Linked DNA regions of Ovis aries. The protein of the gene in region 2 binds, or shares a complex with, the protein of the main gene of each other region. Links are inferred from orthologs where the notes say so. Each region holds a gene or a part of one and is shown on either strand. Other genes may lie near its edges.

Region 1 (3,461 bases), on a different chromosome or scaffold from region 2:
TGGTTGATTCGTACCAGTTCCATCCAATCAGTAGTTCAGCCTGGAAGTCTAGGAGTCATGCTTCTCTTTGTCTTCCCATACTCATGTATCAGCAAGGCTTGATTTTAACTCCAAAACATACCTCAAAGTATGTTTGCTCTAGACCTACCCAGATCCAGGCCCTCCCTTCCCTTGATGGATGAGGCAGGAGCCTCCACTCTTGACAGCAGAGTGGTTCTCCCAAAGCAGCGATTATCTAAACAGCAGCCAGCCCAGGTCATTACCTGCTCAAAAGCCCTCTAGCGCTCCCCACCACACCAAAAACAAAACCCTTTATTCCCTTCTAAAATGGCTAGGAGCCTGGTTTTGCTGACCTCTTCAGTCCTCTCCCCCTCCCCTCAACTACCACCATGAGAAATATCTAGGCCTTCCCTGGTATTTTCCTGTCTACTGACTTATCTAGTTTGTCTCCAGTTAGTCTGTGTCGTTGAACCTAGCCCTAGCCACCTCAGGGAACGGCTCTAATCCTTTGGTCAAAGAACTCCCTGCGGTAATCCCCTGCATTCACTCAGCCTGCCTGTAGTCCGGGATAGACAGGATGCGGGTGTTGGGAATCCCCACGAGAGGGCAGCCCTGCTTAGCTCGGCCGAGGCAAGAGACACGGGAGTGGGAGGCTGGGCCTCGGCCGGGGCTCCTCTCCGGTGCTGCAGCGAGGTTCTGCGCTCCCTGAATCCTCGGAGGGGCCGGACCCCTCCCATGACTTCCAGGGACGGTGGAGGCCAGCTCCAGGAGCGGATTCAGTGGGTCGGACCACGAGAGGGCCACAGCACTGCCGAACCCGACGATTGGGCCCGATCTACCCGCTCAAGGGCGCAGCCGCGGTACCCGTGACCTCCAGAGACCCCGGCGGGAGGGACCACAAATTTCCCCTGGGAATAAATGAGGAAACTGAGGCTGCCGCAGGGGTGCGACTTGTCCTGGGAGTCAGCTCAACGGCCCGGGACTACGGGGACTCCCGGGCCGGATCCCGCCAGGTTTCCAGCTACAGTCCCGCCCTTCCCCATAAGAGCTGCTTCTAAGGAGTGGGTAGTGGGCGTCAGGCTCGCCCACCCGGCAGGGCCCCGGGGGTGGAGCCACACCAGCCCCGCCCCAGCCCCATTGGCTGAGGCGCCAGGGGCGGGGCGGGGCCGCCAGATGTTGGGGCGGCGGCGGCGGCGGCGGAGGCAGCAAGAGCTGGGGAGAGGGAGGAGCCGCGGAGCCAGGCGGAGGGCAAGGGCGCCGCTGGCCGGCCCCCCGGGCCCTCTCCGCGCCGCTCTTGCTGGAGTTTGAAGAGGAACTGGCAGGCCTGGAGGGGGCTGCGGCACGGACATGCACAGCGCTCGGCTTGACAGTTTCCTGGGCCAGCTGCGCTGGGAACTGGTGAGGCTTGGGGGCGGGCGTGGCTCGTGAGGACTAGTGTGGGGTGCTCGGCTGCCTTCCTACCCGAACGACACTCGGATGGGGGGGAGCTGTCCCGAGTGCCCATCCAAGAGAGGATGGGGGCGGGGCGGCGTAGATGGCCCAGATGGCCCGCGTCGGGTTTCGGACGATTGGGAGCTGCGCTGGGCATCAAGTAACAGCCGCCCAGCTGGCCGTGCTGCTGGCGCAACGCAGGAAGTTGTGGGGGAGAAACTTCTTGGGCAGAACAGGGGCTTTTACGGAACGAAAAAGGTGGTGGGGCTACTACTGATGCCCCTTATTCCAGGCTGGCGTGTACCTCTTGTCTTCCTGGAAGGTGCTCTTTTCTTCTCTGAAAGAGGCTGCGGGCTTTGGGGAGCTGAATCCCTCAAGAGGCACAGGGTTCCCCCCCAGCCCTGAGCAAGACCTACTTCCCCATGCAGGCCCACAACCCTGCCTCCCGCCCTGGTGGCGGGTACCAACTTGCCCGGCTCTGCGTGCTGCAGCCTGCCGGACTGCCATCAGGTCGGCCAATGGGAGCCACACGAGCTTCGTGTGCCAGCGCCCCATGCCGACCTGGTGCCCGCTAGAGGCCTTGCTGCTGAGGCCTCCTGGGCCTTCTGTTTTGGAACTGGCCTGATCAGGCAGGGCGGAGTGACCAGCACTGCTCCTACCACTTCTGCCCTCTCTTCTTCCACAGCTGTGTGGCCGGGACACTGGCTCACCCCCAATGCCTGGTCCCCTTCCGCCACCCCCCAAACACCGCCCAGGCGTGCGGCTCAAGCACCAGCTCAGGGCCTCAGATGCGTTGGAAGAGGACTCGGTCTGTGGTGTGGAGGAAGAGGATGACGAAGTAGGGGTGACAGGAGACAGGAGTGCAGCCTTTGGGGGCCCCAGGGAGCACGGCCTGGACTGGGACTCTGGCTTCTCAGAGGTGTCGGGCAGCACATGGAGAGAGGAAGAGCTGCCCGTACCCCAGCACCCAGCAGCCTCGGCATGGCCCCCCCGGAGACAGCGCCTCTCAACCAGTGGTGTTGCCCAGCCTAGCGGAGCGCCCATGGCCCGGGTACCACCTGTCCACCGACCACGGCCCAAGTCCACCCCAGATGCCTGCCTGGAGCACTGGCGGGGGCTAGAAGCCGAGGACTGGACCACAGCCCTGCTGAGCAGGGGTCGTAGTCGCCAGCCCCTGGTGCTGGGGGACAATTGCTTTGCGGACTTGGTGCACAACTGGATGGAGCTGCCCGAGGCAGCGGGTGAGGGGGACAATGGGGGTGGGCCCCGTGCGCGTGCTCGGCCCCCCCAGTTCCTGCTGGGCCTCTCTGAGCAGCTGCGGCGCCAGCTAGCCAGGGCGCGCCGGGCAGCACTGGCAGGAAAGCGACTGTCATGCCCACCTCGCCCAGAACCCGAACTACCTGCGGATGTCTCACGCTTTGCAGCCCTCATGAGTTGCCGCAGTCGGCAGCCCATCATTTGCAATGATGTTGTCAGCTACCTCTGACCCTGCCCTCCAGCCTGGGACAATAAAGGCCTTTCTCTGGACAATCCTGGTTCTGTACCCCTCGAGGCTCCAGGAGGCAGCGCCAGCCCTGCAAGGCACAACTCAGGCAGGCGAATCAAAAGAGCCTTTTCCCTCCCCTGCAGGGGTCCTTGTCACGCCTGTGTCACACGCCATGTGTCTGCTCCATCACCCGTCCTGTCCACTGAACACCTTCCTTCAACAAGTGTTTATTGAGTGTCTGCTGTGGGCTTGGGACGCAGGGCTCGGGACGCAGGGCTCAGGATGCAGGGCCCGATGGAGCTGGGCGGTGGGGCTGCTGCCTTGTCACAGCTTGTAGTGCAAGCGTGGAAAGTTAGTGTCATACTCCTCGCCCTCATAGCCAAGTTCCAATACCAGCACCCGCTGCCCAGGCTCCTTCTTCACCAGCTCTGTCACCCTGGCGTGGGGGGAGGGGGTGGGGAGATTGGATAGGTGAGTGGTGACACAGAGTGTCCTGGCATGGGCTCCAGGGTGCTGGGGGGCCAGAAGGAGCCCAAGCTAGGAG
Region 2 (3,500 bases):
CCCTGCCCCCCCGTGCTCCTCCTGGGCCCCTGCCCCCCCGTGCTCCTCCTGGGCCCCCCTGCCCCCCCGTGCTCCTCCTGGGCCCCCCTGCCCCCCCGTGCTCCTCCTGGGCCCCCCTGCCCCCCCGTGCTCCTCCTGGGCCCCCTGCCCCCCCGTGCTCCTCCTGGGCCCCCGTGCTCCTCCTGGGCCCCCCTGCCCCCCCCCGTGCTCCTCCTGGGCCCCCTGCCCCCCCGTGCTCCTCCTGGGCCCCCCTGCCCCCCCGTGCTCCTCCTGGGCCCCCTGCCCCCCGTGCTCCTCCTGGGCCCCCTGCCCCCCCGTGCTCCTCCTGGGCCCCCCTGCCCCCCCCGTGCTCCTCCTGGGCCCCCCTGCCCCCCCGTGCTCCTCCTGGGCCCCCTGCCCCCCGTGCTCCTCCTGGGCCCCCCTGCCCCCCGTGCTCCTCCTGGGCCCCCCTGCCCCCCCCCGTGCTCCTCCTGGGCCCCCTGCCCCCCATGCTCCTCCTGGGCCCCCCTGCCCCCCCGTGCTCCTCCTGGGCCCCCCTGCTTCCCCCAGAACCCCCCCACTCTCCCACCTGCCCCACTCCCCCCAGAGCCCCCCCACCCTCCACCTGCCCCACTCCCCCCAGGGCTCCCCCACCCCTCCACCTGCCCCACTCCCCCCAGGGCTCCCCCACCCCCCACCTGCCCCACTCCCCCCAGGGCTCCCCCACCCCCCCACCTGCCCCACTCCCCCCAGGGCCCCCCCCAACTACCCCACGCCCCCTGGGACCCCCCTGCCCCCGGCTCCTCCCAGGGCCCCCGGCTCCTCTCAGGGCCCGCTGTTTCCCCCAGGGCTCCTGTACCTGCCCCCATTCCTCCCGGGGCTCCCCGCCTCCCCACCTGCCCCCCGCAGCTGCCCCACTCCTCCCGGGGCTCCCCGCCTCCCCCCCTGCCCCCCCGCCGCTGCCCCACTCCTCCCGGGGCTCCCCGCCTCCCCACCTGCCCCCCGCAGCTGCCCCACTCCTCCCGGGGCTCCCCGCCTCCCCACCTGCCCCCCGCACCTGCCCCCACTCCTCCCGGGGCTCCCCGCCTCCCTACCTGCCCCCCGCAGCTGCCCCACTCCTCCCGGGGCTCCCCGCCTCCCCACCTGCCCCCCGCACCTGCCCCCACTCCTCCCGGGGCTCCCCGCCTCCCCACCTGCCCCCCGCCGCTGCCCCACTCCTCCCGGGGCTCCCCTACCCCACAGTTTGGAGGGCATGCAGGGCTGAGAACCAGGAGAGGTCCTGTGGGGCTGGGGTTTGCCAGGCGTGAGTTCCGAGCCCAGCTCCTGTCCCCACTCCTTGCGCCTCCCCAGGCTGTGTCCTCTGTCCCCATGATACCCACTGCCATGCCGTCCTGTCCTGGCCAGGCCCCACTGACTCTCTATGTGCCTTCCAGGCCCCTCACCACCAGGTCCAATACTGGCCCCACACTGTTGACCCCACACCTGCCTTTCCTGGTTCCCCATCTCAGAGAGGCCCCACCACCCCTTGTCCCCAGGCTGGGGCCCTGAACCTCCCCATTCCCACTCCAGCCCCTCAGGCCTGAGCCTGTCGCCCTTCCCCCAATGCAGCACACGGTGAGCGTCATGTCCCCACCTCCAGGCTTTGCCTCGATAGGCCTTCCTGCCCCTGGAATCTAACCCCCAGCCCCGCCTTGTGTCTGAGCTGCCTGCTTGTCCTTCTGGTCTCAGCCCTGTGCTCAGTGCTCTCGTCCCAGCGCCCTCTCCCAGTGCCAGCCTGGCCATCAGGGCTGCTCGCAGACCCACTCAGGGCTGCTCGCAGACCCACTCAGGGCTGGCCAGAGGCCAGCGTCAGCAGTGTGAGGTGTGCATGGGGTGGGAGCACCCCGGAATAGAACACAGATATCAGGCCCTCGCTGCCTCTGGGCCTCTTGGCTTCAGCCGTGGGAGGACAGTCCCTGGACTGGACCCCGAGGAGCAAGAGTGGCAGGTGGAACTGGACCTGCAGTTTGGCAGGGCACCCCCCCAGGCCAAGAGGGCGGGCTCTGGCGGCAGGGACTGCTGGTCCTCCCCGCACTGTGCCAACCCCGCCTCCCGCAAGCAGGTGGTGATCATGAGGGACTACCAGCATGAGAACGTGGTGGAGATGTACAACAGCTACCTGGTCGGGGACGAGCTCTGGGTGGTGATGGAGTTCCTGGAGGGAGGTGCCCTCACCGACATCGTCACGCACACCAGGTACAGCCGGGCAGCTGGACGCTGCTGGGTCCCCAGAGTGTCCCCAGACCTCGCCCATATCAGGACTGCTCCCCTCTAGACCCCTTGGGGTGGGGCCACGTCTCAGAACCAACACACTGTCCCCATCACTCCTCCAGGGTGGGGCCGTGTCCCCATCAGACCCCAGGATGGGGCCCTTGTCTTCCCCACTCACTCCGCGCCCCCCCACCTGCCCTGCCCTCCCAGGATGAACGAGGAGCAGATCGCTGCTGTGTGCCTGGCCGTGCTGCAGGCCCTGTCCGTGCTCCACGCCCAGGGAGTCATCCACCGGGACATCAAGAGTGACTCCATCCTGCTGACCCACGACGGCAGGGTGAGCAGTGGTGGGGTGGCTTGGCCTCCCCTGGCCTCTGCCCAGCTCTCGCCCTGTGGGTGGGGTGGGCCCAGCGCCCAGTTCAGTCCCTTGAGGAGCAGTACGTGTATTCCTTCCTCGTGCATCAGTCCAGAGTCAGGGGTCCAGGTGAGTGGGGGGCTCTGCCATCATCAGCCCCAGCTGCTGAGAGCTGGAGTCTAGCCCCGGACCCAGAGTGGGGAGATTGCATCCAGGTGGCCAGCCACAGCTCTCGGCCATGTGGCAGCCTGCCCCTGGCCTGGTGTCCAGGACTGGGCTGTGGACTCCCGGTCCTGTCTTCTGGACTGAAGCTCCAAGCTTGCAGTCCATGGATAAGCCTCCTGGTCCCAGAACCTGCATTCGTATTCCAAGAGCGGATGTGATTTTTCAGGGGGAGGGGGCCCTTGACTTTCACCAGATTCTGGTTGGTGATCTGCCTGCCCTCCCCCAGGAAAGTTAAGCCAGTTCACAGAGGCGGGGGATTGGGGGAAGGCTTTGCTTCCCAGGGAGTCTCGGTTGGGGTCATGGACACCTGAAGATTCTACAGACGTGTTTGGGGCACACGGGTGAGCACAGAACTGTATGTGCAGTGTGTGAACGTGCTCTCTGGAGGGTCCACTGACATCCTCGGGAGTCTCAGTAGGGCCCATAGTTCCCAAGAAGGTGTAAATCCTTGGTTCTGAGGAGTTGGTTGTTGCAGAGGGACAGGCAGCATCCATCTCACCCCCTGCCAACTAAAGACATGCCTCCTGCCGGGAAGCCAGGGCCCCGGGCACGGCCTGGAGAGCCAGCCCGGTCCGAATCCCTGCCCAGCCTCTGGTACTCATGGGACTCGGGCTGCCTCCCCCGGGAGCCCCAGCACAGACCCTGTCAAGGAGGCAGATGGGTGATCTCGGGCAGCTGACACCGCTGAGGG
Region 3 (4,287 bases), on a different chromosome or scaffold from region 2:
TTAACAGACAAATCTTTGAAAATCACCACTCGGCACTGACACCTCTCAGTTCAAACTCTTTTACTGGCTGCCCATTAATTATAATCATTGCCTCTCAAGCTTGGATAAGAGTAGCCCCAAGGTCATTCAGCTGAGATAAACCCGGAGAAGCTCCAGCAGCACCAGTTTTACTGGAAAAAGTTTAAGGACAAGCATGACTCTTACATCAGAATAAACACTGGGAACATTTAGAGTACAGTGATATTTACATGCAATTTATGGTTGAAATCCTCTTTCAAGTGGAACTTGGAGCTTGGCTTCTATGCACACTGTACCACAAGAATAAATTGACTTCCTCTGGCATCAGGCCACCACCTTGGTAGAATGTGGGGTGGGAGGGCACAATTAAACTCCAAACTCCCTAATCTGGTTAGTTAGAACTGCTCCCCCTCCCCCTCCCTCCCCAGAGCCATCTGTCCGACTGGTTCCTGACCTGCAAAGGTCATATCACTTTGTTTTTTTTTGCTGCTTCTGCTTCTAGTCAGAGGCACTCTGAACTTTTGGACAAGGCATCCAGCTCTGTCGCTTTTGGCACGTTAACCCTTTGCCTCAGTCTTCTCACCTGGTTAACAGCAGAGTTGTGGGAGAGGATTTCAAGAGTTAACAGGGTATTTACATTTCAGCGTCTGGCTAGCCGTGTGCTCTTTCTGCTCTACGTGTTAGGCTGCTCTACTGCTACCTCCTTGTACGTGAAGACCGCCTCTTCTCTGGCCTACAAACCATTCCGGTCTTAACCCCCTCAACGCGGCACAGCCCAAGCCCACCTGGCCCTTTGCACATGCTGTTAAGAGAAGCTCCCCACCCCATCCCTTACAGTCAATTTTAGAACCAGCTCAGATATTAAGAATAAGGTGAAAGGCTGAGCATCTGTTTTTAATTTGTTTCTCTTTACGGAAACCGCCAGCGTACCGAGATAGGAGAAACGCATAATAGCGACATATTGACCAATCTCAAATCCGCGTTAAGGGGCAAAACTTGAAAGAGAGGAGAGTGTGTTTCAGGTGTGCCTCCACGCCCCACGTTCCCCATGGAGCGACTCTCCTCACGGTAACACGCGCCGGAGGCGGGTAACACGCGCCGGTGCCTTCGCCTCTCGGGTGAGCGCTGCTTTGGGAAGGAAGACCAGACTGCCGCTGCACGGTTCCCCCAGCCCCCTTAAATTCAGCAACCCCAAGTAATCTCTGCTCTCGGATGGAGCGTGACCTGCCGCCTTCCCGAAGGCCCACGCTGCTAGGAAAGCCCGGCAGACCCCACCCCGGGATTTAGACCCCCGCTCCGGCCTCCAGGTGCGCCGGAAGCGACTTCCACCTGGATGCCCTCGGCCTCGCGTTTCGGGCCGGTCCCCGCGAGGGGCGGAGCTCGGCCCGCCCCGCCTCGCCGTCAGCGGACCGTGTGGCAGCCGGGCGGGGGCCGGGAAGGGGAGAGAAGGGGAGGAGTGAGGAGAGGAGGAAAGTGGAGCCCGGCGGGCCGGAGCGAGGAAAGGAAGGGAAGGGGTGGAGGCGACTGGCAAGAGTTTGCCGGCGCGCGGGGGAGCCTCGGCCCGGGACGCGTCGCGGAGCCAGAGTCGCGGCCGCAGCGCGGAGCCTGCTGTCCCGCCTCTGCCCAGACCGCCCGCCGGGGCTGTCCCGAGCGGCGACACCCCGGGCGTCCCAGCCGGCGAGCCGGCGCAGCGGCGGCCCCGGGACTCGGCGGCGAGGGCTGCGGGAGGGATGGTGGCGGCGGGGCGCGGGCCAGAGCAGCCGCCCCCGCCTCCCGTCCGGCCGAGGCCCCCGGCCCTCCGCCCCCGCTCCCCGGCCGCACGCCCCCGCGGAGTCCGCAGCCCGCGCAGCCGCTGAGCCGGGCGCCCCACCATGCCGCGGGCCCCCGCGCTCCTGTTCTCCTGCCTCCTCGGGCTTTGCGCGCTCGTGCCCCGGCTCCCAGGTAAGCCACGCCGCCCGCTGTGCAGAAAGAAACTTCGTGGCGCCCCGAGCCGCCCGCCGGCGTCTTGGAGGGGCAGGGGCCAGGGCAATTGTTTGAAGGTGGGAGGCGTCCTCGGGGACACCCCCGAGGGGGGGCTTTCAGACTGCGTGCGCCACCCCGCGCGCGGCCCGCCGCAGCCCCGCTGGGCTGTCGTCGGCCCCCGGTCCCCTCCCGGGCGAGGAGGAGCCTTCCTGTGTAAACAGCCCTGCCCGTCTGCTGACCTAGCCCGCGAGCGCCCGCGCCCAGTGCGCGGGGAGGGCCGCAGTCAGCCCCGCGTCGGGATCTGGACTCTGCAACTCCCGGCACAAAGCGGCCCTTGTGGCCGGCCCCGGGCGGCCGGGCTGCTGGGAGGCGCCGGGTGATGCAGCCGGTGCCCTGATCGCGGGGAGCGAGGGGTAACTGGAGGCGCGTGACCAGGAGCCAAAGCGTGGGGTTCACGGCTACTCTCGAGGGCTAGACTTTTGCAAGCGTGGATGCCCAGGGTTTCCTGGTGAATCCTAGAGTTTCACCCCGTCTAGGCCAGCCGCCTTTCTTTAAAGATGTAAACATCCCTTCCTCCCCCAAGCACCCGCATACCCGAGGGGAGACCCGCTTCCGAAACCACAGCCCCACCTGGGAACCAAGCCCTACCTGGGATCTCGCGATCTACTTCCTTCTGCCTGGCTTTATGTCGGAGCTTACAAACACCCCGTGCAGCGTACTCCCCCTGATTCTGAAGGATTCTGGAGCAGGGGGTGTGCAGTTGCACTCGCGCGATCCTGCTCTGGGCTGGCGGCTGTGTGAGGACCCTCAGTTACCTGCTTTAAGTTTTCAGAGTTGGGAGACTGCTGAGGAAGGATGCTCTGTTGGCGCTGGGGTTGCCAGGCAGAAGGAGCTACCCCCACCCCGTCCCCTCTAAAAGCAGGAAGCTCCAGACTTTCTCTTTTCCGGTAGGAGATAATTGTGTTGAGGTTCTCCGTTCACTTTCAAGCCCCAAATTCGATGGCTGTTCCGAACCATGTGTCTGGCCTAGAGGGAAAGGAGGACGGTCCCCTGCAGAGTTTCATTTACATGAAGGCAGTGAAGGTTGCTGTCTGAGACAGAGGAGAGGTCTAGACAAACAAAAACTTTTTTAGGCGATATTTCAGACTTATTACTGTAACAGGTTTCTTTCATCAGTCCAGAGCTTGGAGTGAATCACTGTTTTCCAAACACCCATCTGGCAACCAGTGCCCATTGCTCATGGGTCCCAGGGAAGGGCAAAGAGAGGGATATAGCCTGTGTTATACACAGGAATATATTATTGCCAACAGCCCCCTGCTTCACAAGGACTGTCCTTTAATTTGAAATTCTTTTTTATTATTAGGAAGACTTAAAAAAATGATTGGTAGTGATAATAGGGTAGTTTTTTGTTTGGAGCAAATGAAAAAACTGGCAATCCTATATAAATTTTACCTTCTCTTTTTGTTTTCTTTTTAAATTATAATCTGTGAAATACAGAAGTGTAGGAACTGCTGAAGGAGATGATTTCTTAGTTTCCTTACAGGTTGACATCCTGGTTCTGAGACAAACTTAAATACTTCCAGTTGCAAATAGTTCTTTCAATCCGTTATTTTCCATTTGCATTGTGATTTCTGCTTTTCAAATTTCATATTTTTGTTTTTAATGATCTCCGTTTTGGGGGTTAGCCCAGGATAGTGAACTGGTTTGCCCACTGTCCTTGTGCATAGGCCTCATAACTTTTTGGTTTAGGGCCCTTTGTCCTGCATGACACAATTTAGGTAGGGAAAAAAGCATTGAGCCCACAGAGGTTTATTTCCAGTGCTGTCTCTTCTCCTGGAATTGTGTTAGAGCTCAGCCATCGCTCCATGGATCAGCAGAACAATGGGAGAGCAAGCCCATCACTGGCTTCCAGACCTGGCCACCTTCCTCTTAATGCCCTGGAGCTTCTCAAGGTTACCAGCGACTGACACATATCTGTGTGATTTCTCCTCGTTTCCCAGTGTTGCTGAGCCAGCTGCAAGTCTGAAACAGCTTTTCTTTTCTCTTCCTTCCCTTGTTTTCTCTTTTTCTTGAAGCACTGCAGGTACTTTATCCAATTTGTGTTCTGCTACTAGGACAGAATTTGACAGAAAAACCTTGATTACCCACTAAGAGAAAAAGGTGACCTGCAGGGTCCTGCCTGCCTGGGTGTCCCTAGATCGGTGGTTAAGTTACCAGTCTATTGCTTTGCACTGCTTTCATCTGTGTGTTTAATCCAGCAGGAAACAGACTTTTAATTTAAGGGGGCTCACTTCAAACAAGTCCCCA

Evidence for each region.
Region 1: the proteins of PAK4 (region 2) and INKA1 are in contact, whole or in part, in a crystal structure (PDB 4XBU), measured with the Homo sapiens proteins. The link is inferred for Ovis aries from reciprocal best matches to the Homo sapiens genes PAK4 and INKA1. Residues at the interface, in NP_001014831.1 of Homo sapiens: Ser331, Gln358, Arg359, Glu361, Leu362, Thr404, Asp440, Lys442, Ser443, Asp444, Phe461, Leu475, Val476, Gly477, Thr478, Pro479, Tyr480, Trp481, Met482, Arg489, Glu507, Glu512, Phe516, Asn517, Glu518, Pro519, Pro520, Met524; in NP_976248.2 of Homo sapiens: Gly178, Arg179, Ser180, Arg181, Gln182, Pro183, Leu184, Val185, Leu186, Gly187, Asp188, Asn189, Cys190.
Region 3: the proteins of PAK4 (region 2) and ITGB5 are in contact, whole or in part, in a crystal structure (PDB 7S46), measured with the Homo sapiens proteins. The link is inferred for Ovis aries from reciprocal best matches to the Homo sapiens genes PAK4 and ITGB5. Residues at the interface, in NP_001014831.1 of Homo sapiens: Gly330, Ser331, Gln358, Arg359, Leu362, Thr404, Lys442, Ser443, Asp444, Asp458, Phe461, Leu475, Val476, Gly477, Thr478, Pro479, Tyr480, Trp481, Met482, Glu507, Glu512, Phe516, Asn517, Glu518, Pro519, Pro520, Met524; in NP_002204.2 of Homo sapiens: Ser762, Arg763, Ala764, Arg765, Tyr766, Glu767, Met768, Ala769, Ser770.

The regions. Positions count from the first base shown.
Region 1 is NC_056072.1:50,476,862-50,480,322, reverse strand, and holds INKA1 (PAK4-inhibitor INKA1), read left to right. Parts: upstream 1-1,233; 5' UTR 1,234-1,347; coding exon 1,348-1,398; intron 1,399-2,116; coding exon 2,117-2,917; 3' UTR 2,918-2,961; downstream 2,962-3,461. Other genes in the region: UBA7 (ubiquitin-like modifier-activating enzyme 7), read right to left, coding at 3,242-3,353. UniProt on the Homo sapiens protein: Inhibitor of the serine/threonine-protein kinase PAK4. Acts by binding PAK4 in a substrate-like manner, inhibiting the protein kinase activity.
Region 2 is NC_056067.1:48,257,968-48,261,467, forward strand, and holds part of PAK4 (serine/threonine-protein kinase PAK 4), read left to right. Parts: intron 1-2,080; coding exon 2,081-2,214; intron 2,215-2,439; coding exon 2,440-2,566; intron 2,567-3,500. UniProt on the Homo sapiens protein: Serine/threonine-protein kinase that plays a role in a variety of different signaling pathways including cytoskeleton regulation, cell adhesion turnover, cell migration, growth, proliferation or cell survival.
Region 3 is NC_056054.1:190,163,977-190,168,263, reverse strand, and holds the start of ITGB5 (integrin beta-5), read left to right. Parts: upstream 1-1,487; 5' UTR 1,488-1,889; coding exon 1,890-1,959; exon of another isoform or gene 1,960-4,287.